Diceros bicornis minor: one gene and its partners. The protein of the gene in region 1 binds, or shares a complex with, the protein of each later gene. Links are inferred from orthologs where the notes say so. Each region holds a gene or a part of one and is shown in the gene's direction. Other genes may lie near its edges.

Region 1 (7,613 bases):
GGGATGGTTAAGATTAGTAGAACACACACGTACACACACATACGCAAACTATTAAAAGACTTGACTTTTCATTTTATAACTCAATGTAGTGTTTGAATTTTTTCCCAAATACATGTATTACTCTTTTTTCCTTCTTGTCAATATGATTATCTGGTGGATAGTTCTGACTTCTTTTTGTACTAATCTGTATGTATATAAACTTAATACATGTACATAATAATGTACACCTGTTAGAATAGCTGAAATAAAAAATAATCGTGATACCAAATGCTTGCAAGGATGTGGAAAAGTTGAATCTCTCATATATTGCTGCTGGTGGGAATGTAAAATGATACAACCACTCTAGAAAAAAGTTTGACAGTTTCTTAAAAAAACTAAACATACACTTATCATACAACTCAGCAATTTCACTCTTGGACGTTTATCCCAGAGAAATGAAAACCTATGTTCACACAGAAACCTGTGCATAGCTTAATTCACAACAGCCCCAAACTGGAAACTAGTTAACTGTCCTTTAGTGGGTGAATGGTTAAACAAACTGAGTTATGTCCGTTCCATGGAATACTACTCAGCAATAAAAAGGAGGAAGCTATTGATATATATAGAACTTGGATGGATTTCAAGGGCACTATGCTGACTGAAGGAAGTGAACCTTAAAAGGTCACTACTGTGTGATTCCATTTATGTAACTGTCTTAGTCAGTTTGGGCTGCCATAACAAATATACCACAGGCTACATGGCTTAAACAACAAATATTTATTTCTCAGGGTTCTAGAGGCTGGGAAATCCAAGATCAGGGCACCAGGAGATCAAGGTGTCTAATGAGGACCCACTTCCTGGCTTGTAGACAGCCGCCTCTGGTTGTATCCTCACATGGCCAATAGAGAGTCCTCTGTATCTCTTCCTCTTGTTCTAAGGGCAAGAGGGATTAATGCCCCACTCTCATGACCTAATCTAACGCTAATCACCTTCCCAAAGGCCCTACCTCCAAATACCATCACATTGGGGATTAGGCTTCAACGTGTGAATTCTGGAGGGACACAGACATTTGGTCCATAGCAGTAACTCTCTCTAAATTATAATTATATGGATGAAAAACAGATTAGTGGTTGCCAGGGGTTAGAGACGGCAGGGTGGGGAAAAGGTGGGTGCAACTATCGGAGATAACATGAGAGGGATCTTTGTGGTGATGGAATAGTTCTGCATCTTGATGGCGTGGTGGCTGCATGAATCTACCCATGTGATGAAATGACATAGACCTGTACACACACATTGTGCCAGTGTCAGATTCCTGGTGTTGGTGTCGTACCACAGTTACATAAGATACAACCAGTGGGAAGACTTCGTGAAGGGTACAAAGGACTTCTCTGTACAATTTTTGTAACTTCCTGCAACTCAATAATTATTTCAGAATAAAAAGTTAAAAATTTTATTGCAGACCTTTCATGTTATTTTTAATTCCTTGGCAGATAAGAGACTTCATTGTGTCATATGCTCATGAGCCATTAGCTTTTTCTTAGTTCTACTTTTCTATCTGGTAGAAATAAAACCAGTTGTTATGAAGTAAAGAAGATAATTAGTTAGATTTTTAGACCTCCTGCTGACTCAAAATGCAGACTGGCAACTAATTTGCTTTCATTGTTTTCATGGTTTGCTAGATCAAGTAGATGGATTATTAGCCCCAGTTCATTCACCAACAGATAATTACTGTGCATCTGCAGAGTGGTGGACTCTTCATGATGCTTGGGTACCGGCATGGACAAGACAAAGTTCCTCCCCTCCTGGAGGTGACATTTTTGGCATGTTAAGTGAGGCTAAAGGAAGGTAGAGAGCTTGGGTCCTGCTCTCCTGGATACTGTTTGAACTGAAAGGAAAGGGAAGTCTCCCCGTACCTACTTCTGTGTTCTGCCCTGTAGGTTGGTGTCTCCAAGTAGCATTACCTCAGTGTCGCAGAATATTTTGGATCTGATGATGTTTTTGGCAGGAGAATGAACATGATTCACAATCACTAGACCTAGTATGGATTAAGAACTGTAAAGAATATTGTAAGGAAAATAAACAAATAGAGCCTGACAGCTTTTTTCTTTAGGCATGGACAAATATATCAGTTACTGGAAGCACCAGTACAGGATGGATGTTATTTTATTTTGTTTATTTTATTTTTTGTGTGTGTGAGAAAGATCAGCCCTGAGCTAACATCCATGCCAATTCTCCTCTTTTTGCTGAGGAAGACTGGCCCTGAGCTAACATCTATTGCCAATCCTCCTCCTCCTTTTTTTTTTTGTTTTTTTCCCCAAAGCCCCAGCAGATAGCTGTATGTCATAGTTGCACATCCTTCTAGTTGCTGTATGTGGGACGCGGCCTCAGCATGGCCGGAGAAGCAGTGCGTCGGTGCGCGCCCAGGATCCGAACCCGGGCTGCCAGTAGCGGAGTGACCGCACTTAACCGCTAAGCCACGGGGCTGGCCCCAGGATGGATTTTATAAAGAGGTAAAAAACAAACAAAAACATTGGAGGCAGACGTCTGAATTTGAGTTTGGGACGTTGCACTTACTAGCTGTGTGACTTTGTGCAAGTCACTTAAGCTCTCTGAGAAGGTAATATTAGTCTTGTTTATTTTTTAATGCAGGATAAATTAATTCTTGAAAGCTAATAGTAGACTGGCAAGTTGGAAGGATTATTGTTGAGAGCATAGTGGTGGTGGGCCTCCTTCCTTCTATTTGACCATCAAGTCATTGTCTCGAACCTTCTCCCTGGGGAGGGCAAGTCCCTATGTTCATGGACTAGGTCCCAGTATACTGAGATAGAGAAGTTTAAAGATAATTAAAGATTGATTTTGAGTTTTGGAAAGAGGAGTGTCTTAGGTAAAGTAGAAATGTGAATATCTCTCTTAACATAATTAGGTTAAGAGAGAAGAAGTATTCTGGGCAGGAGACTCGTATGGCTCCCCACTTCCGACCATGCTACCTAACCTAGTTCAGTGCATTGTGTTTCTGGTCTCAGAGTCAGAGGGTGTGTGTGTGCGTGTCTGTGTGGATGTTTCCATGCCTGCTGCCTCCTCTCTCTGGTCCCCATGGTCATTGTAAAAAAAAAAAAAAAAAAAAAATTAAACATTTAAATATTTAAAAATGGTGAGTCTGTTGTTCCATCAGCCACAGGCCTCAGGCCTGGGCAGGATCCACAGCCTTTGAGTTTCTGACCTGTGTTCTGAAATCTGTAAGATTCAGAATGAGAAGACTGGATCTCATTTTCTGCTTCTAGTCCCATTTTTGTACCCGCTACCTAATCTTTTCTAGTTAACCTATTTTGCTCTCCAGCAATTACCTTTAACATTTGCTCGCATAGTAAACAACATAGGATCTAGGATCTAGAATCAGACTACGTAAGTTTAAATCTTGACTTCACCACATACTTACTAGTTATTCCTCATCTGTAAATAATACCTACTTTATTGGGATATGATAGTAAGCACTTACTAACACTTAGGCGTCATTCATTATTCATAGTTATGACTCAAGAGCCTCAGCGCATTTGATCTATTTGCTGTTGATTTCATGGCTCTCGTATCTCGAGTGTGATCTGCTCTGTTGGTCAATGTACCTTTTACCTATTCCCTAGATTTCCTTTCTCAATGCCCCTTGGTACCTTGGTGTTGGTGGGATGGCACGTTGGTACTGAGAGGACTGAGACTTGAGAAGACACTGACCCTTGTATTGCCCGTGGTGCTGCATCATCATCGTCTTCATGGCTAATACTGTTGTAAGACGACAGTAGTGTCGAGTGGGTATAGCAGAATGCCAGTGGCATCCTTAGTCATGATAAAGACCAAGACACGTTGGCTCACCTAAGTCACACAATTAGCTGGGAACTCCAGTTCTTCCGTATTTCCCTGTGTGTCCGTTCGTTGAACACAGTATGGAACTCTTACTATGTGCCAAGTGCTAGGATAAATAAAAGTCAAATGTAACTCTTAATTTCGGGGACTCTCAGACTCCTGGGGGAAGGCAGCCATAGGGCCTAGCTGGCAAGCATGCCCTGGGCATTATGATGCCCCTCAGAGTGTGTCGGCAACATTGCTCTCACCAGAGAGCTTGTTAGAAACACAGAATTGCTGGGAGTGTTTTACAAGCTCTCTGAGAGATTCCTGTGCCCACCAAAGTGGAGAAGCACAGTGTTAGTGGGACAGATACCCAGAGACTTGGATGTTTCTTTCTCTGGGAGCCTACCAAGCAGCCCTCTGTTTCTGTAGTAATGTGTACAGACACAGTCCACTGGGAAGGCCGCTCCAGCGAAGACTGTCACAACTTCGTGGAATGTTTTCTAGAGCTTCCAAAATGCCTCAGTAAATCAAGACTGTTATGCCCAGTGACTGCTTTGCTGCTGGAGCTCTTAACGTGAAGGGTCAGGAGCGACCCTGGCAGGCCTGGGGCTGACGTGTGTGGGAACAGTGGGAGTGACCCTGGCAGGGAGCAGGGCTCCTGCATATTGTTTCTCCAACTCCTGTCCAGCTCCCGCTGCTCTCTGCCCTGGGCTCCGAGCTCTCAAGCACCCACGGATGGCGTTCCCGGGCAGGGCGCGCCCCTATGTCATCCCAGAGAATGAAGAACTACCCCAGACAGCCCTTACCAGTGTCCACCAGGCGAATGGCAGTGAAGACGAGAGGGCTGTGTCGAAACTGCAGCGCAGACACAGTGACGTGCAAGTCTACAAGGAGTTCTGTGACTTTTATGCGAAATTGTAAGTGTCCGCTCTCCAGGAGTTCCCCCCTTCCACATCTAGCTTCTAGGGCTTTCAGTTCACTAGCCATTTGCAGTTTTATTTCCGCGACTTTCAGCAGGGGCTTCCCAGGGAGAGGAGGGGCCGGGGCCTCTCGGGGCTGCTCCCGGGCAGCCTGTTCCGGCAGGCAGGCAGGTTGCGCCTCCTGTAAACTTCCAGGGCCTGAAATGCACATGTGAAGGAAAATGCCGCCTTTCAATAAGAGTAGTCATGTCCTGGTCTTTAGTAGGTTCCTGATAATAGCACATTTTCATTAGATAGTCGAAGAGGGAGGTTTAGAGTTTTTGTTGTCAGGATTTGTAATAGAAAAATTTTATACTCTAAAACTTCCCGTAGATAAGATGCATGTTGAGGGAAACAGTGAAAAACTGAATTACAGACTATTGATAAAGATGCACATTTTTGTTATGTTTAACAACCAGCAATTTGAAGTAGGCTAACTGGGTTTTTCTTAATACAGTCTCTAAGAGATTGACTGAATAAATAAGGATGTTGTGTAACTAGCAAATATGTACATGTAAATTAAACATGGCGTTATCTCTAAAAAGTTAGTCTAATTCATATTATGAGATGGGTTTTAGCAGTTGTTTTTTTTTTAAATATTACAAAGTAGTATTTAGACCAACTCTTGTAAGATTGTTGACCTTATTCAAAGCTATATGCTTGGAATTATTGCAAATCCCTAATTTGTCAATTAAGAGTTAAAGAGAATTTAACTTGACCTGATTGTCTATTTCCATTAATCCATTCTGTGTCGTATTGCAACAGATGTCATTTCTTTTCACGACTCATACAGAGCTCTGTTTAAGAGTAATTGGGGCCGGCCCTGTGGCTTAGCGGTTAAGTGTGCGTGCTCCGCTGCTGGGCGGCCCGGGTTCGGATCCCGGGTGCGACGCACCGCTTCTCCGGCCATGCTGGGGCCGCGTCCCACATACAGCGACTGGAAGGATGTGCAACTATGACATACAACTATCTGCTGGGACTTTGGGGGAAAAATAAATAAATAAATAAAATTATTTAAAAAAAAAAGAGTAATTGGGCAGTTATAATTATATTATAGCCAAAATACTTGGTGATCTCTCAAGATGCTTTTTGGATTTACACATTTTTGCATTTTAATGCCAGAAAATTTGTTTCACATACTTTGATAAATGAGGCACTTGAGTAACGAAAGCTCAGGTTTTCTGTGTTCAGGTGATTTGTGGAAGTGGATCAGCTAAATCAGTTATGACTGGCCAGATATGAAGAGTCGCTACTAAAGGCTCTTACCTATCTATACTCCCCGACGTCTGTATTCCTGTCAGCAACACTTTTTAGTGAAAATTCTTTTCTGAAAAATTAGCCAATTAATTATAACAAGTGACAGCTATAACTATCATTCATGACTTTAAAAAAGTAACTTCTATCATATATAGTATTAAATACAAAAATCAACTGTAAAAAAACACATAGGTCAATATAGGTTCATCAGTTGTAACAAATGTACCTCTTTGGTGGCGATGTTGTAATGCGGGGCCCTGCATTTGCGGGGAGGGGGATGTGGGAAGTCTCTGTACCTTCCGCTCAGTTTTGCTGTGAACCTGCAGCTGCTCTAAAACATAGTCTATTAAAAAAAAAACACACATAGTGCCAGAGGGTCAAAGACAAGAGAGGAAAGGGAAATGTACACAGTTCACTATGTTGGTGAGATTATTGGTGTTTTTTTCCTGAAAGTTTCCTTTAATGTTCTGTTTCCTTTCTTTTCCTGCTTGTTATTAAAAGGAATACCTCTTCAAAAATACATATTATGTTATCTCTAAAACTAGTTTATTTTTTCTGTTTGTGGGAAAAACTTATATGCTTGATTTTGTAATGTGTCTACCTATTTTCTGACTCTTCGACTGTTTGAGTTTGAATATAAACAGTCTACAATATAGTGAGTATGAACAGGTCAGTGATAAATGTGCTGATCTTGGGACCCCTTGATGCTCTTAAAAATTATTGAGGTCCCCAGAGAGCTTTTGTTTTGTTCATCGGTATTTTCTGTATTAGAAAATAAAGCTGAGAAAATTTTAAAATATTTATTAATTTAAAATAACAATAAACTCATATATTAATAATATTTGAATAAATATTAATTTTTTATGAAAAATAACTTCCAAAACGACAAAAGCTTGGTGGGAAAAGTGGCATTGTATTACATTTTTGCAAATCTTGTTAATGTCTGTCTTAATAAAAGACAGTTTCGCATATCTGCTGCTGTGGTCATCCTATTATAACATTTTTTTAGATAAAGTATATAAAGAAAATATGGCCTCCCACAGAGATGTAATTGGAAAAGGGGAGGACCTTCCAAACTCCTGAAAGGGTCATGGTGGCCCCTACACTTTGAGAACTACTGATCTAGGTAATCATGAATCAGGACATTCCAGAATGTTCTTCTTTTCCAGCTTTTTTAGAGTTCTATTAAAATCATTGAGAATTTGGTGAATCTTTTGAGAGGATTTAAAATTAATAATAATGCTTTATATTTGAGTAGCATCTTCTGGTTTCCAAAGTGGTTTTACATACTTTTTCTTATTTTATCCTCAAACAGTACTAAGAACTATTGGGGCAGATGTGGGCTTACCATTCTTCATCAATGGACATCTGTGAATTTTGGTCAAAAGAAAGGGAGAATCACAAATCTTCACAGGAGCTTTGCTAAAAGTGCCACAGTCCATCTGGCTTACGGCAAAGCCCGGTGAAGAAGAGAATTTTACGGACTTTTCTCCCTAGCTCACAGTGATTTTGAGATGACAAAATACAAAATTCGTTTTAATATGAAACTTAGGCTAGGTTTGCCAAATAGTGAGGCTG
Region 2 (7,561 bases), on another chromosome or scaffold:
TACAGAGCATGTAGTCCCATGGCTTCAATTTAAAAATTTAATCTTTTTTGTGATAAATCTATAAATTTTGTTGGAAGTACATTATACATACAGAAAATTGCTCGAATTATTAAGTTCATTCTCCATGAATTTTCAAAGTGAATACACCCATGTAACTAGTCACGCAGGTCAAGAAACAGAACATTACTAGCTCCTGTAGCCTCCCTCTTGCCTCCCGCCACTGCCCCTGCCCCCTTCTAGTCACTATCTCTCCCATGGCTAATCATTATCCTGACTTCTAATATCACAGATTAGTTTTGCCTGTTTTTGTACTTTATATGATTAGAATGATAGAGTATATCCTCTTTTGTCTGATTTTTTTCACTTAACATTATATTGAGATACATTCCTATTGCTGCTTGTAGTTGCAAATTGTTCATTCTCATTGCTGTATAATATTCCATTGTGTAATTATCAAAATTTATTTACTGATTCAACTGTTAATAGGCATTTGAATTATGTTACCATGAACTTTCTAGAACATGTATCTAGGTGCACAAATTTAGTCATTTTTGTTGAGTGTAACCTAGAATTGAAATTGTTGATCATAATGTATGTGTGATGTTCAGCTGTAGTAGATACTACTGCCTTGGCTTTGCTTTACTGATAATAGAAATAAAAGTACACAAGGGACAGAGATTTGTCGAAGGTCACCTAGCCAGGACTGAGCCAGAACTGGAACTGGGTAATTCACTCCAAGGTCTAGATTTCAGGGACAGACTGGCCTAGAGATTCAGCAGAGGTTCACAGCTACACACATTTAACTTATGAGCTGTCTTTATCATCTAACCCTTGGGTAGCATAACACCAACCACCAAGCATGAGAAGGCTGCTCATCAGTGGGGCCATAATTGTAAATACCAATTTAGATTGGAGGGAGCTGGTGCATCCATCTTCTCTGCAGCTTATCAAAGAACAGCATGTTTGTGTCGCTGATTAAGCTAGATTTAGATTCAGTCTACTTCAGTGCCAGGCCCTGTGCAAGGTGCTTTCCTATATATTATCTCATTTACTCTTCTGAACAAACACCAGGTCAATTCACATCCATAACGACTATAAAAGCATAACATCAAAAGAGAGTATATAAACTCTGTAAGCAAACCGGAGCAATTTAGAACAGTGCTTTTTAAGCAATCTATGGTGAACGACCAATCCATCATAGATCAGTATTTTGTAAAATACAATAAAAAAAGAATTATTAGAAAAATAAAAAGACATTCAAAATATAAGCTTCCAATTTTTATTATCAAATTAAACAAATATAAAAAGTGCACTGTTAAATTGTTATAAAAGTTTCTAAACACTCTCAGTTTCTATATTTATATCATTGAGGACCGATAACAGTTTGCAGATCAATACTGGTTTTCAGGCTACACTTTATAATTCACCATCCATCCCCCCTTGGCCTTTCAAGAGAGATTGATAATTATCTTAGAGGCAGAAAGGTTTGAATAACAAGACATCTGCATAATATTGAGACCCTGGAAACCACTCACACCCATACAGGTTACTGTCTACATTAGGGGGACTTTATCATTCCCCTATCTTTATCAACATAACTCTATTCCAAAAAACTCTTGCACAGAAAGATTAAAGTTACAAATAACTTCTTTTTATTCAAAGACTTCCCCCAAAATCTCATTGAAATAAACATAAAACCCTTAAACTTTTCAATAGATAGCATTAAAAAGACGATTTACTCTTGTCTTGTCTTGTGTTCACAGATCCTATACTACTATATCACAAGCCTTAGCCAAAATAAATCAAGCATCACCCCATTGAAAGACCTGCCTTAAACTAGATTCCAAAACCTTATAAATATCCCCACTTTGCCCTCCCCCAGTCCAAAATGCTATTAAGACTGCCAAGGCAGGGCTTTTCTTACCCTGGTATACAATAAACTCAGTTTTACCTTCTCTACAGCTTGGTTTGCTGGTATTTTCTGGGAGCCAGCATTCAACAATCTAGACTTTCCTTTGTTTGTTCCTCCTGTTAGTCTTGCTCAGTTGCTTTCCAACTTTAGTATGCATAAAAATTACCAAAGAGGGTTGTATATACAAAAGCGTGCACAAGCAATTTAAGAGATCTCTATGTGTAATTTTGACCATGCCATATTTAGGACCTACACCCTGCATACAGATATCAGCAATTGGTGACGAATAGAGAATCATAGACTGTCAGAGCTGAAAGTGGCTCTAGGTGCCCAAACATCAGTGCGTGGATCAGCTACTTTGAAATCCTATACCTGATGTAGCCCCTGTTAAAAAATACCCATCCTTTGGGGCCGGCCAGGTGGCACAAGCGGTTAAGTCCACGGACTCTGCTGCAGCGGCCCAGGGTTCCCCAGTTAGGATCCCAGGTGCGCACCGACGCACCGCTTGTCAAGCCATGCTGAGGCGACGTCCCATATAAAGTGGAGGAAGATGGACACGGATGTTAGCCCAGGGCCAGCCTTCCTCAGCCAAAAAAAAAAAAAAAAAGAGGAGGATTGGCAGATGTTAGCTCAGGGCTGATCTTCCTCACACACACAAAAAAAATACCCACCCCCTTGGTTTCACCTCGGAGGTACCGAATCAGCGTTTCTAGAGGTGGGGCCTGTGAATGTTTGTAACAAACTCCCTAGGGGATTGTGACGAATAATCAGGTTTGAGAACCACCATTCTGCTCCACCACTTCATTTTGTAGATGAAGAAATGGAGATTCAGAAAAGGGAGTAAACTCGCCCAAGATCACATGGCTACTGAGCTGTGCGGCTCATGAGTCCCTGGCAAGAGTTCCCAGGGCTAAAGATCAGATTTTGGAGATGTCCTTATGTATCCAATATCTGAACAAGAATGATTAATGAGGTCATCAACCCACAATTCTATTTTGGCTTCTCAGCATCTCTTTAAGATTTATCAAGGTGATAGTTGGGGATGGGGGTGGGGGTCACGTGTCATAATCTTCCCCTGCTCCTGGGTGAAAATTCTAGCCGTCATCATGACTTCTCTGCTTTCTATTAGGTCAGAGGCATCAGCTAAAGTATAATTTTCAAAAGAGGTAAAATTATGACTCTTAAGCAAGGATAAAATGAACACGTACTGAGACTCTATTGTCCCTCTCGTTTGTTAAATTTTTGTTGTGCTCAGGAATTGTTGCTTGTCATTTTGCTGCTTAGCTCAAGTAAAGGCGGATGGGTTGTTAAAAGGCTTTAGGAACACGTCCTAGGAAGGCCGCGCGCCCCGCCACCCCCCCCCCCCACACACTATAAGTGAGCACCTGGAAGGAGTCAAGGCCCAGGCAGCTACTCCCCATGGTTGTTCATTACTCAGACCACACTCTTTGCTCCATTCTTTTGTTTCTCTACTCATCAGCATGCATGTGGCTAGACATTGACACCCCAGTCTTCAGTCTGCATGATCATCACTAAGTGCTCAACTTTGGACAACAGTGTCTGGAGCTTAGTCCGGATTCTTGATGGACACTATCTGATGGGCAGCTCTCCAGTCAAGGATCAGCATCCTTTGGGTCGGGTGATCACTCAGGGTCAATCAGCTGTACCTACTTGGAGGAAACACAGTTGCCAAGGGGCTGTGTGAGTGTGTGTGTGAAAGAGAGACGGCCAGGAGATCCCAAGTGAGAACTTCAAGAGGGCAAGAACAATAAAATGTGTCTTTTAATCAATTCCAGCAAGAGTGCTTGACACATTGCGGTTTGTGCCTCTCCCTATTACTCCAAATGAGTCTGGTTGTCACTCTGTTGCTTTTATTTAGGCGGGATAAGTTTGGGATGGGGGTGTCTCACAGGAGCCCACGGCGTACCTTCCAAATCATGTTTCCACCAATATTTGGGATCCTCCTTTGTACAAGCCATTGAGTTGCTAGACACAGGGGTGTTTTGTAAGAAGCCTCGGCCCTGCGCTCACGGACTTCAAACTTCTCAGTCTTGGATGGGTGTGAAGAGGAGGTTGACAGCGAGGACAAGTGCAGGAACAGTTGGATGTGCCCAGTTGGCAGGACCTGAACAAATTTGGGTCACTCTATTTCTTCCTAGAGCTGGCTCACTCTCCTTTGTGGGCACAAGACATGGGCCTAATAGATGTCCAGGTAGAAATAAACGCAAGGGAAGCGCGAGCTCCTCACCAAGCAGGCGGGGCGAAGGCTCTGGGAGACAGAGGAGCAGGTGGGTTCGGTTCAGCAATCACTGAACCCCCATTTGTGCCTGGATCTGTGCTGGGTGCAGAGCCGGGGGAAAGGAGGCTCCCGGGCTGGAGGGGCACACAGACTGATCATGCCGCACGTCCTGCAAGGGGCAGATTTGGGGCACCCTCCCTGCTGCGGGCAGCCAAGGGGCGCGGGGCGCAGGACCGGCCGGGGCGAGGGCCCGGAGCGCGCAGCTCCTTCCAGGGCGGAGGGCGGCGCGAGGGAGGGAGAGAGGGAAGGGAAAGGCGAGCGTGAGCTGCCTCAAATGCTTGGAATAATTCCGCTTCCGTTTGGAAAGCCGCAGCCTCAGTCCCGCCGCGCCCGCCGCGTCCGCCCAGCGCCAGCTCCGCGTCCCGACCGGCCCGCGGCTGCCCGCTCCCCCGCCATGGCCACCTCCCCGCAGAAGTCGCCCTCTGTCCCCAAGTCCCCCACTCCCAAGTCGCCCCCATCCCGGAAGAAAGATGACTCCTTCTTGGGGAAACTCGGAGGGACTCTGGCCCGGAGGAAGAAAGCCAAGGAGGGTGAGTGCGGCCCGGCCTGACGAGCGGCAGGGGCCGGGGCAGGGGGCCTGGGCTCGCAGGGCCGCGCGGGCGCGCGCCGCGGGTGCCCGGGGCGGTGGGAGCGGGGCGCGGCGGCGCGGGCGCGCGCTTCCCGGGAACCTGGTGCCAGTCTGTGCGCGCCCTGCGGGCCCCGCCGCCGCCCTGCCGGTGGTGGCCCGGCGCTGCGCTGCAGGGCCCGGGCGCTCGGGTGGGACAGCCCGGCACTGGGACCAGGCGACGTCCGCGCAGGGCCTGGCGGCTCTGCGTGGTCCGAGGGCCGAGGAGCCCGAGGCGGCGTCCTCCCGTAGGCCCCAAGTCCCCGCCCTCTCCGCCCCGAAGGCTGGCATTTCCCAAGTTTCTGCAGAAACTTTTCTGGGCGCCGTCACTCTGACTCTTCGCTTTCATTGGTCTTTGCCATCAGGTCGTTTCCTAGACCTGCTTAGGTCCAGATGCAGCGTTGGCCTCTTTGGATCTTTTGTCCATTCCCAGGGCCCAGCAGGGTTCTATTAATGAGTAGATCAACATCAAATGTTTGTTGAATGAATGAGGGATAATGTAATAAATGATCCGGCCATGTAATAAATGATCAAGTTGCACCAGAGGAGAAAACCCGGATTAGACACACACACTTAGCATCCTGCGCTGCGACCCTTCTGTGAACTCAGGAGTTGATGGCTCCTGCAAAAACCATTTCCTTTTTCCCACCAGGGTGAATTGAGGCGATCTTATTTTTTTCCAGGACAGTTTGCATGTAAAGTATTTTGTTCCATGGGCAGATTTCACATCCTGGTTTTTGGTTTGAAAAATGAGGTCACAGTTCTGAAGAAGCACTAGTGATGGATGTGTAGGTAGAAGTTGTTTGGTTAAATTTTTTTCATAGATTGCTCAGTGGTTTGGGAATAACTCTTCTGAAGGCGATGATGCTGGGATGGAAAATAAGTTTTATGTTCTGAGTTATCCTAAAGCATAAAAAAGAACTTCAGTGTTGAGAATTATCGAACTTGACACAAAGAACTAGACTTCTGTTGTCTATATTGATGTGAAAAGCAGCAAAACAGATCCCCAAAAATGTTTCCCCCCAGTGTGGTTATTTTGGTAAACCGTTGTCTGAGTAGTGTACAGTTGGTAGCAAATCATGAAACCCTGGCTTGGAAAGTCCTTTTCTAGACTACCCTTCTAACTTTTTCCTACAGTATTCCTGATATGGGCTCTCTAGCTTCAGACTGGGCAACTCAGAATTTCTGAAGCTCATGACCTCCCAGGAGAGCTCACCCCACCTTTGCAACTCTTTAGAAAAGTTTGCTTTATTGTAAAAGTAAAAAGTTGATCTCTCTGTATCTACTGTTATTCTATTCATGGAGCTGGGAGGATGAGTCTGAGGGTGGCCTTCACTCTTTTCCAGTGGATAGCCTGTGTCCTAGTTTTCCCTTCACCAGTCCAAACATCCTCTGTTCCTATAGCTGGTCCTCATAGACATGATTTTATGGCCCGCTGGCCTCCTAACTCTTCAGTTTTGGTCAGGACCCCTGCAGGAAACAGAAGGTCAACTTAGTTGGGATTTTGAAAATAGAGTAGTGAAGGGACTATGTAGAGAGGTGTGGGCAGGGTTAAGGGAACCCAGAGGGGTGATGAGGAACCTAGGGGCCAGCAGCAGACAGTGGGAAGCTCTTACCACCCCTAGGCCTGAGGGGACAAGGGGAGCAAACCAGAACCCATTGAGAGCTGGAGCTGTGGAGGGTGGGCTGCCTGGCAGGAACTGTAGCTGCAGAGGGACACAGCCACTGTGGGAGATGTGGAGGTGGAGCAGGGAGACAGGGCACAAGAGATACTCTGCGTGTTCTCTCTCTTCTTGCCCTGGAATCTCTTGTTGGTGTTTCCCATTGGCTGGACCCAGCGGGAAGTCACAAGGACTAGGGAATATGGGTGATGCAATATGTGGGGGTCAGCTCGCTTAGGGCACAGAGCAGTGCAGAGAATAGATCATAGTGGGGGAGGGGGGCTGGAGAATAACTAGCAGACCCTCTCAAAGTGAGCTGCCCAGAGGTCAACATAATGCTTACTAGTCCAGTCCAGCCAGCCCAGGTGAGAACAGAGCTGTCACCTCCTTTGCTCTAGCACAGACACCATGTTCTCTTCATGCAGCTAAGCCTGCTTTTCTTTTTTTTTTTTTTTTTTTTTTTTTTTTTGTGAGGAGATCAGCCCTGAGCTAACATCCGCCAAACCTCCTCTTTTTTTTTGCTGAGGAAGACGGCCCTGGGCTAACATCTGTGCCCATCTTCCTCCACTTTATATGGGACGCCGCCACAGCATGGCTTACCAAGCAGTGCGTCGGTGCGCGCCCGGGATCCGAACCAGCGAACCCCGGGCCGCCGCAGCGGAGCGCGCGCACCCAACCGCTTGCGCCACCGGGCCGGCCCCTAAGCCTGCTTTTCTTCATTCTTCTGCCAGCTACTTCACGCTGTTATCTCTCATTGCACTTGCTATCTGCTTACTCAAAGACATTTTTATGTTTGTTGTTCCTAAACCATTTCCTTCCCTATCTGAGGTTTACTCAATTGGGTTTTTGAAACCAAGTACAAGATCTTATTATCATCTGTATTATACTTAACTGTTAAGTCCTGATTCTGTCATTCAGTCTATTAGCTAATCCAGGGAATGTAAATGGGGCCCACCGTCACCCAGCTCCAGCTGCTCGCTGTTGCACGTGGTGGTTCTGCGAGCCCAGTCAAAGAAGGCGTTGGGGTTGGTCTGAGATAACCCGCTGTTGGTGCGCGTGTGCTAGATCTCAGGGTTCAATGCTTT
Region 3 (6,927 bases), on another chromosome or scaffold:
CAGGGTGAGGTGGCCACAGGCTTTTTCTGGACCCAGTGGAATCTCCTGGCACTTCAGGCATTCTTGTGAAGAATGCCCCAGGGAATGGAGGGGGCCAATGACGGTTTGGGGCTAGGAGATGCCCAGGATATGGGTTCTACTTGAAATAATTTCCTATTAAATTTCAACTCCATTTAATGGGAGGAATTTGTTAAAAATCTGCCACACACTCACCAAAGGAATACTAACATCATTAATTTTATTAAGAAAAATGAGAGCTAATATCTATATAACATTTGCTCTACACCAGGCATCATTCTTATGTATTACTCACTGAAATAGAATACTAAGAACCATCAGCCCCATCTTATAGTTGAGAAAAATGAGGTATGAAAAAATTATATAAAACTTGAGTGACAGAGCTGAGATTCTAACCTTGGCAACCACCCCAGAGAGTGCCTCCCACCCGGCCTGAAGGATTAGGTGTGAACTTATTAAATATGACAGTCAAACTATCCTCACAGATCTATTGAAATTATTAAAAAAGACTGACACTGTTATATGACCTAGAAAAAATTTTAATGTAATTGCTGTTAGTTGAGTAAAAACTTAAAGATTATACAGCATTAAAAATAATGTTAGTGAAAGAAAATTTTTTACTTGTTGAGATCACACGTCACCCCATGGCTGTCAATTTAATGGAGAAGTTATTGGAAGAAAAATGATATGATAATTCTTCTATATTTGATGAAGAATTTGCTTTTCAAATTTTAATTTGATAATTTTATTTATATGTCACTTAGTAAGTCGTTTATTATAAATATGGTTTAGGGAATAAAAAAGGCTTTTTTTTTTTTTTTGGTGCAGATCTTTGGAAAGATTTGCTCTGGCCTAACATCTGTTGCCAATCTTCCTCTTTTCTCTCCTTCTTTTTTCCCTCCCCAAAGCCCCAGTGCATGGTTGTATATCATAGTTGTAAGTCCTTCTAGTTCTTCTATGTGAGCCACGGCCACAGCATGGCAGCTGACAGATGAAGTGGTATGGTTCCATGACCAGGAACCCAAACCCAGGCTGCTGAAGTGGTGAGAGTGCCAAACTTTAACCACTAGGCCATCAGGGCTGGCTCAAAAACAGCATTTTTAGAATTAATGATTTACGAAATAATTTACGTGAATTTACCAGTAGTCATAGTCTGGCGTGCCTCAGGTGGACCAGGCATCTTCCATACCCTATCTTTGATTGGCTCACTCTGTGGGCGGAGGGGAGGCAGTGGTAGTACATTCCTTCTAATTTTGAAGTATTGAAGCACAGATTCTATCTCAGCATAGAGCATTTGGCAGTGATGCCGTGGCAGGGTTTTATGCTCTGATAAATATTGACTTCTTGCAGGATTGGCTACATAATTTGCAGGGGCCAGTGCAAAAGGAAAATGCAGGGCCTCTTGTTAAAATAATTATTAAATGTTTCAAGCTGGTGACAGCAGGGCATTAAACCAAGCATGGGGCCCATCTAAGCCCGGAGCTTTGTATAACTGCCTAGGTCACATACTGAGGAAGCTGGGCCTATTTCCATGTTATAAAAATCGGGAATTTAGGGACACATTTCCTTCAGAATAGCACGGGTATAAGTGAAGAGTCTGAGAGGAAAATTATCAGGGAGTGAAAGCAAATTTCTGGAAAACAGGAAGTGAATGGAAGCATGCTGACAAACGAAACAGAAAGAAACTGCAGCCCAAAATAATTTCCAGAGAGAAACGCAGCAGAATTGGGACTCTACTTTCCAGGTGTTATCTGACGGGGCTGGCAGGTGCAGGGTGAAAGGGTGAGCTAGGAAGTAACAGAATTGTATAAGTGGCTCAGAATTCACAATTTCCCTCCACCAGCAAAGGCAGCCTTGTGATTACAGGCAGCTGTAAAACTGGGCTCTCAGCTCTCAAGAAATTTAACCAACAGCTCAGGGAAAATTAATGCTGACCCAGGAGGGAAACAAATACAGATCAACAACAGATGAGGAAAGAAACCACACCAGCTATCTAGAAAAGTCAGCTTAGACTTCATGCTTGAATATGAAAGGACAACCCAGAATCAGCAGACAGAGGAAGAATTACAGCAGCATGAATGGGAAAAAAATCTAGGTACACACATATAAAAAGGGACACTTGAGGAAACATAATTTAGTAAACAGAGAGAGGTCTACAAATTGTTATCCTCAGAGATATTTGAGAAGAGAGTGCATTCATGAGACAAAAGCAGGCTGCTATTGAACAAGAAAGAGGACTTAGTATTTTTTGTTAATAGCCAAAATAATTTTCAAAAATTTAATAAAAGATTTGGAAGATAAAGTTGAGATAATATTCCAGGACATTAAGCTAAAAAGACTTTTAAAAATGAAAAAATATGAGAAAAAAGATAACTGTAGCAAATCAGCCCAGGAGGCTGCCATCTGACTAACAAGATTTCCAGAAAGAGTGATAAATCAGAGAAAATGGCAGGAAAGAAATTGCAAAGCAACAGCAGAAACAATTTCCAGGGAGGAAGAGAGAAATGAATCTTCAGCTGAAAAGGACCCCAGGAGTGCTAAACAGATTAAGTGGAAAAAGACCACCAACCAGAGATATTATGGTGAAATTTCAGAACATGATGAATAATAAAAAGAAAAATTACAAATGTTTCCCAAGAGAAAACAACAGTTCCCCGCAAAGACTTTTGAGGAGACCGACACATTTCTAGGCATTAACATTGGAAGCTGAAGTCAGTGGAACTGTGCCTTCAGGATTTTAGAAACTCATCTTGAACCTAGAATTCTGTGCTAGACAAATGAATAAAGGTATTGGCAAAATAAGGACATTTAAAAACATGTAACTACTCAAAATTTGTGCCTCCTACGCACCCTGTTAGACAAAGCTACTTGAGAGGTACTCTAGCAAGATGTAGACAGGAAATGCCAGTTTCAACCCAGAAACCAAGTGAAAAGAAATCACAGATAGCCACTCAGCTGCAAGGACAGAAAGAATCAGTTACAGCAGTAAGTTAGTGGGTTCCTCAAGTCCTCAGGAAGAATTGATTGGATTTCAAGCAATGGAGAGGAATGAAAAGCGGCAAGATCTTAGGCATAGGGTAAAGAAGGTTACAAAAAGAAAAAGAAAAGCAGTTAGACACTCTAGTGAAAAAACAATGAAAATCGTATAAGGACATTATCATTCAACAGAAAGCAAACTAAAATATGGTATAATTTTGAGTGCAGTGTAGGAAAAGAGGTCATTTATTTATCCGACCATGCTCCCCTTCCTGTGACACAGAGGTCCATGATTGCGAGCTGGGCGCAGGGGACACACAGACCACCACCGAGTTTTCGTCGTAGAGGAGCTCATAAGGCAGCGGGAGGCACAACTGTGGAGAAAGGATTCAGGGTAGCAACTTCTGGTAAGTGGAGCCACACTCACAGAAGCAGGACACCGACAGAAATGGACTCCAAACTTCCCCAGGACCTAACCTCAGCTACAAACGTCCCTCCGCAGTCGCTCCCCCAACTTCCCCGCTTCCGCCCACAGCACTGTGCGCTTCGACCTAGGAACTGAGCATGCGTCAACCTAGTGCGCACGTGCTCACTCCGGTCCAATCGGAATCCCGAGCCCCGGGGATTCCAGGGGGCTGGACTAACCTCGGGGTGGGGCGGAGTCTCAAGGCCGAGTAACGGACGTGATTGGTCGGCCGCAGGGTACACATTCTTTTTAATGGGCGGAGCCTCGCCCCTGAGCCACGTCTAGTAAACTGTTCTCCTAATTTGGGAAGGGTCGGGGGCGGGCGGGGCGTGGAGCGGAGAGCGGCGCGGTGTGCGCCTGCGCCGAGCGCCGGGCCAGGGCGTGTTCCTCGCTGGGGTGCGCGTTTTGCTCAGTTACTGTGCATCTCCTGCCGCTGAAGTGCGCCCTGCGGAAGCCGGCCGCTCCCGCGCCCAACCTGTTAGGTGCTGCCCTCCGCGGTGAGTGTGCGTGCCATTGCACTCGGGGTTGCTTCTCTCCGCGCGGCCGGAGTGGTGCTGGACCCTCCCCACTCCCCTGCCCCGCCCTGTCCCATCCCCCTCCCTGCGCTCGGACTCTGCCCGCTGATGCCCACTTTCCAGGGCCAGGGCAACAACAGAAAGTGCCAGCCAGGCTCTCTCCTTTCTATCCCTGCACCCTCCTGGCCGTCGCTCACGTGCTTTGTTGTTGTCATTTGGTACAGATCATGTCCAAGTCTCTGAAAAAGTTGGTGGAGGAGAGCCGGGAGAAGAACCAGCCGGAAGTGGACATGAGCGACCGGGGCATCTCCAACATGCTGGACGTCAACGGCTTGTGTAAGTTCTCGGGCAGGACCTTCCCCTGGGAGGAGCTGGAAGGGTTTGTAAGTTTTCCGAGTAACTGCCAAGTCGTGGTATGAGAGGTTGTAATGGGTTACATCCCACCCCTGCTTGTAAACACCCCTTGTCAAGAGCTCAGCTCAGAAAGTTTGCAGTCAGAATCTGTTCTGTTCCCACTGGAAAATGAACATGAGAGCTGGGATAAGAACCACACAGACTGTTCCTGCTGAACCTCCTCAGATGTCTGTGCTGATTTATGGCATTTGGGTGGCTTTTCCCCACAGTTTACTTAATACCCACTTTATGTTTTAATTAAATCATTTTTGAATCATTCTTCTTTTCGCCTAATATAGTCTTTGGCCCTTGAACAAACGCCACACAAAAGTTACATGATAGGTATTCTTGTGCCTGGAGTCTGTTAAACGTTTCTTGACTCGTTACCTTTTTCTGGATCTTTATTCTCCTAACTTAGTTCAGGCTTTTGTAATCTCCTGTTTTGTTATCTCCTGCTTGTGCTATTGTGATGTCTTCCTAACTTTCTCTCTCACCTCCAGTTTTACTGCCCCTGTAGTTTAGTCGCTGTATTGCTTTCAGTGTTATTTTCCTGTAACACATATTATTGTGTTACTCTCCTTTAAACCAGGGATTGCAAACTCAAATGCCTGCGGGGGCCAGGTGAGGATGGTCACGAACTCCATAATAGTATCCCATCTGAAGGGGTAGCTGCTACACCTGCTACTCAGATCCAAACACTTGTCACCACCTGGGGACGTTGGCCCAGTGTTGTCAGATTTTTTTTTTAAGAAGCCAAGAATCCACATCAAATTTCCTGATTTTTAGAAGTTGGCAACTAATTCCAATATTTGAAAAATACTTTAGACGTGAAACAAAACACTTCTTCAGGCTGAATGTGGCTTCTGTTTGGACCTTCTCCCTTAAACACTCCTCCTGGTTTTCAGTACCAACAGTCATGCCCCAGGTTCCTTGACGTGACATGCAAGGCCTGTCTGAATCTGACTACACTCTACCTTAGCTCCTGTCCCTTCCATGCATTTGGCGTCCCAGCCATACTGAACCCATTGCCTTTCCTGAACCAGGGTGCACTCTTTGGGGTCTTCGTGCCTTTACAAGTATTGTTGCTTTGCATTCCGCCTTTCTTCACCTGAAATGCTTTTACTTTATCTGTGAAGGGTCAGCTCAGATGTCACAGCCTACGTGAAGCCTTCTCTGTCTGTAGCAAGCAGACACAGTCACTCCTTCCTCTGTGAAGTTGGATGTGCTTTGCTTCATGACTCTTGTTACAGAGGATTGTAATGCATTCCTAATCTAAACGTCTCTTTCCCTTTGGGAGACTGGGGGGACTAAAGCTGTGCAATATTCACGTTTGCTGCCTTTACCATAGTGCCTGGAACACAGTAGGAGCTCAGAAATGTGTGATGAATGAAGGAAAGAAGGATGGATTAGGCCTGCAAGTTTATGAGATCCAGACTGGGATGTGACACTGGAGGAGAAGAGGAGGTGTCCAGGAGACCCTGAAAGATGATGGATTGCTTGTGAGGCATGGAGAGCACGGAGTCAAATTTACTGTGAATCCCTGGTTTGTGCCTGGGACAGAGATTGGGGTTGGTGCTGTCGATACATCTCAGCAGAAGGAAAAGGGCTGAAAAGCTTAGACGATTTGTGTTTGGTAACCCTTAGGAAGACACCTGCCGTTAAACTTAGCTTTTGTACTAATTAGCATCTCAGCCCCTTGGGATGTGTTGTCCTGTCTCCGTGGTGGTTGCTTCTCGGTGGCAGCAACAGAGCGGATGTCTGGTTCTGAATTGGCAGTTACGAATCTGGATGTGTCCCTGCGCTGGCCTGGCTGGCTCTGCTGTGGTCGTGATGGTCATCAAGAGCATTCTGCAGTAGAGGAAGAGGATGGCGAGCGGCAGGCAGGAGGCCTGGCTCAGCTGTGTTCTTGGCCTCATGGCTTTCTGCTCTCAACTCTGTTTTTCTCATGGGGTTGAAGAAAGAGGTTGCTTTCAGCAGAGGAACTTTATTCTCCTCAGCTTTGAAGAGGACTCTTTATGTAATATTTAGAAGTAGTGGGAGTGTGGTGTAGCTATTTCGGTTCACTTGCGTTATCTCTTTGAAGCCTTGGCTTTTATTGAAGAAGCAAAGATAGCCACTTGCTTCCTGAAAAAGATGTTTCCGGTGTAATATTATTTGCTGAAAAGCAAGATCCTTCTTAAGTTTTCTGAAAGAAGCGGCTTAAGGAAGAACCACAGTGCTTCTGGGGAGTTCGTGGAAGTGAATTTGGAGATTCTGCCTCCTCTGTAGTGTGTGTAGACCCAAGGAGTGGCTACTTTCTCCCATAACTCCCTGACTTCTGGACTCTTGGAGCCTGGAGGGTTCCAGGGTGCCTTCAGAAGCCCATTCCTCAATTGGGGCTCATTTATCAGTACTGTACATAATGCTTACTTTTTTTTTTTTTTTGCTGAGGAAGATTCACCCTGAGCCAACATATGTGTTAGTCTTCCTCTACTTTGTATGTGGGTCGCTGCCTCAGCATGGCTGCCAACGAGTGGTGTAGCTCCGCACCCAGGAACCAAGCCTAGGCCGCCAAAGTGG

Evidence for each region.
Region 2: LIMS1 (region 1) and PARVA share a complex: the UniProt entries of both Homo sapiens proteins name them as parts of the heterotrimeric IPP (ILK-PINCH-PARVIN) complex. The link is inferred for Diceros bicornis minor from reciprocal best matches to the Homo sapiens genes LIMS1 and PARVA.
Region 3: the proteins of LIMS1 (region 1) and RSU1 are in contact, whole or in part, in a crystal structure (PDB 7LT9), measured with the Homo sapiens proteins. The link is inferred for Diceros bicornis minor from reciprocal best matches to the Homo sapiens genes LIMS1 and RSU1. Residues at the interface, in NP_001180417.1 of Homo sapiens: Cys252, Phe253, His254, Cys255, Asn256, Leu267, Asn268, Lys269, Ser279, Thr280, Cys281, Asn282, Thr283, Glu293, Phe294, Asp295, Met296, Lys297, Cys303, Lys306, Phe307, Pro308, Glu310, Leu311, Arg314, Leu315, Lys317, Leu318, Ala319; in NP_036557.1 of Homo sapiens: Asp21, Ser23, Asp24, Gln44, Val46, Ser48, His49, Val67, Asn69, Phe71, Asn72, His90, Asn92, Met95, Glu112, Asp115, Thr117, Tyr118, Arg137, Ala138, Tyr140, Ser142, Asp143, Ile161, Ser163, Arg165, Asp166, Glu184, His186, Gln188.

What each region holds. Positions count from the first base shown.
Region 1 is NC_080779.1:5,228,408-5,236,020, reverse strand, and holds the start of LIMS1 (LIM and senescent cell antigen-like-containing domain protein 1), read left to right. Parts: upstream 1-4,539; 5' UTR 4,540-4,554; coding exon 4,555-4,736; intron 4,737-7,613. UniProt on the Homo sapiens protein: Within the IPP (ILK-PINCH-PARVIN) complex, binds to F-actin, promoting F-actin bundling, a process required to generate force for actin cytoskeleton reorganization and subsequent dynamic cell adhesion events such as cell spreading and migration.
Region 2 is NC_080746.1:70,670,462-70,678,022, forward strand, and holds the start of PARVA (alpha-parvin), read left to right. Parts: upstream 1-4,553; 5' UTR 4,554-4,605; coding exon 4,606-4,741; intron 4,742-7,561. UniProt on the Homo sapiens protein: Plays a role in sarcomere organization and in smooth muscle cell contraction. Required for normal development of the embryonic cardiovascular system, and for normal septation of the heart outflow tract.
Region 3 is NC_080775.1:17,074,436-17,081,362, reverse strand, and holds the start of RSU1 (ras suppressor protein 1), read left to right. Parts: upstream 1-3,836; 5' UTR 3,837-3,957; intron 3,958-4,199; 5' UTR 4,200-4,202; coding exon 4,203-4,311; intron 4,312-6,927. UniProt on the Homo sapiens protein: Potentially plays a role in the Ras signal transduction pathway. Capable of suppressing v-Ras transformation in vitro.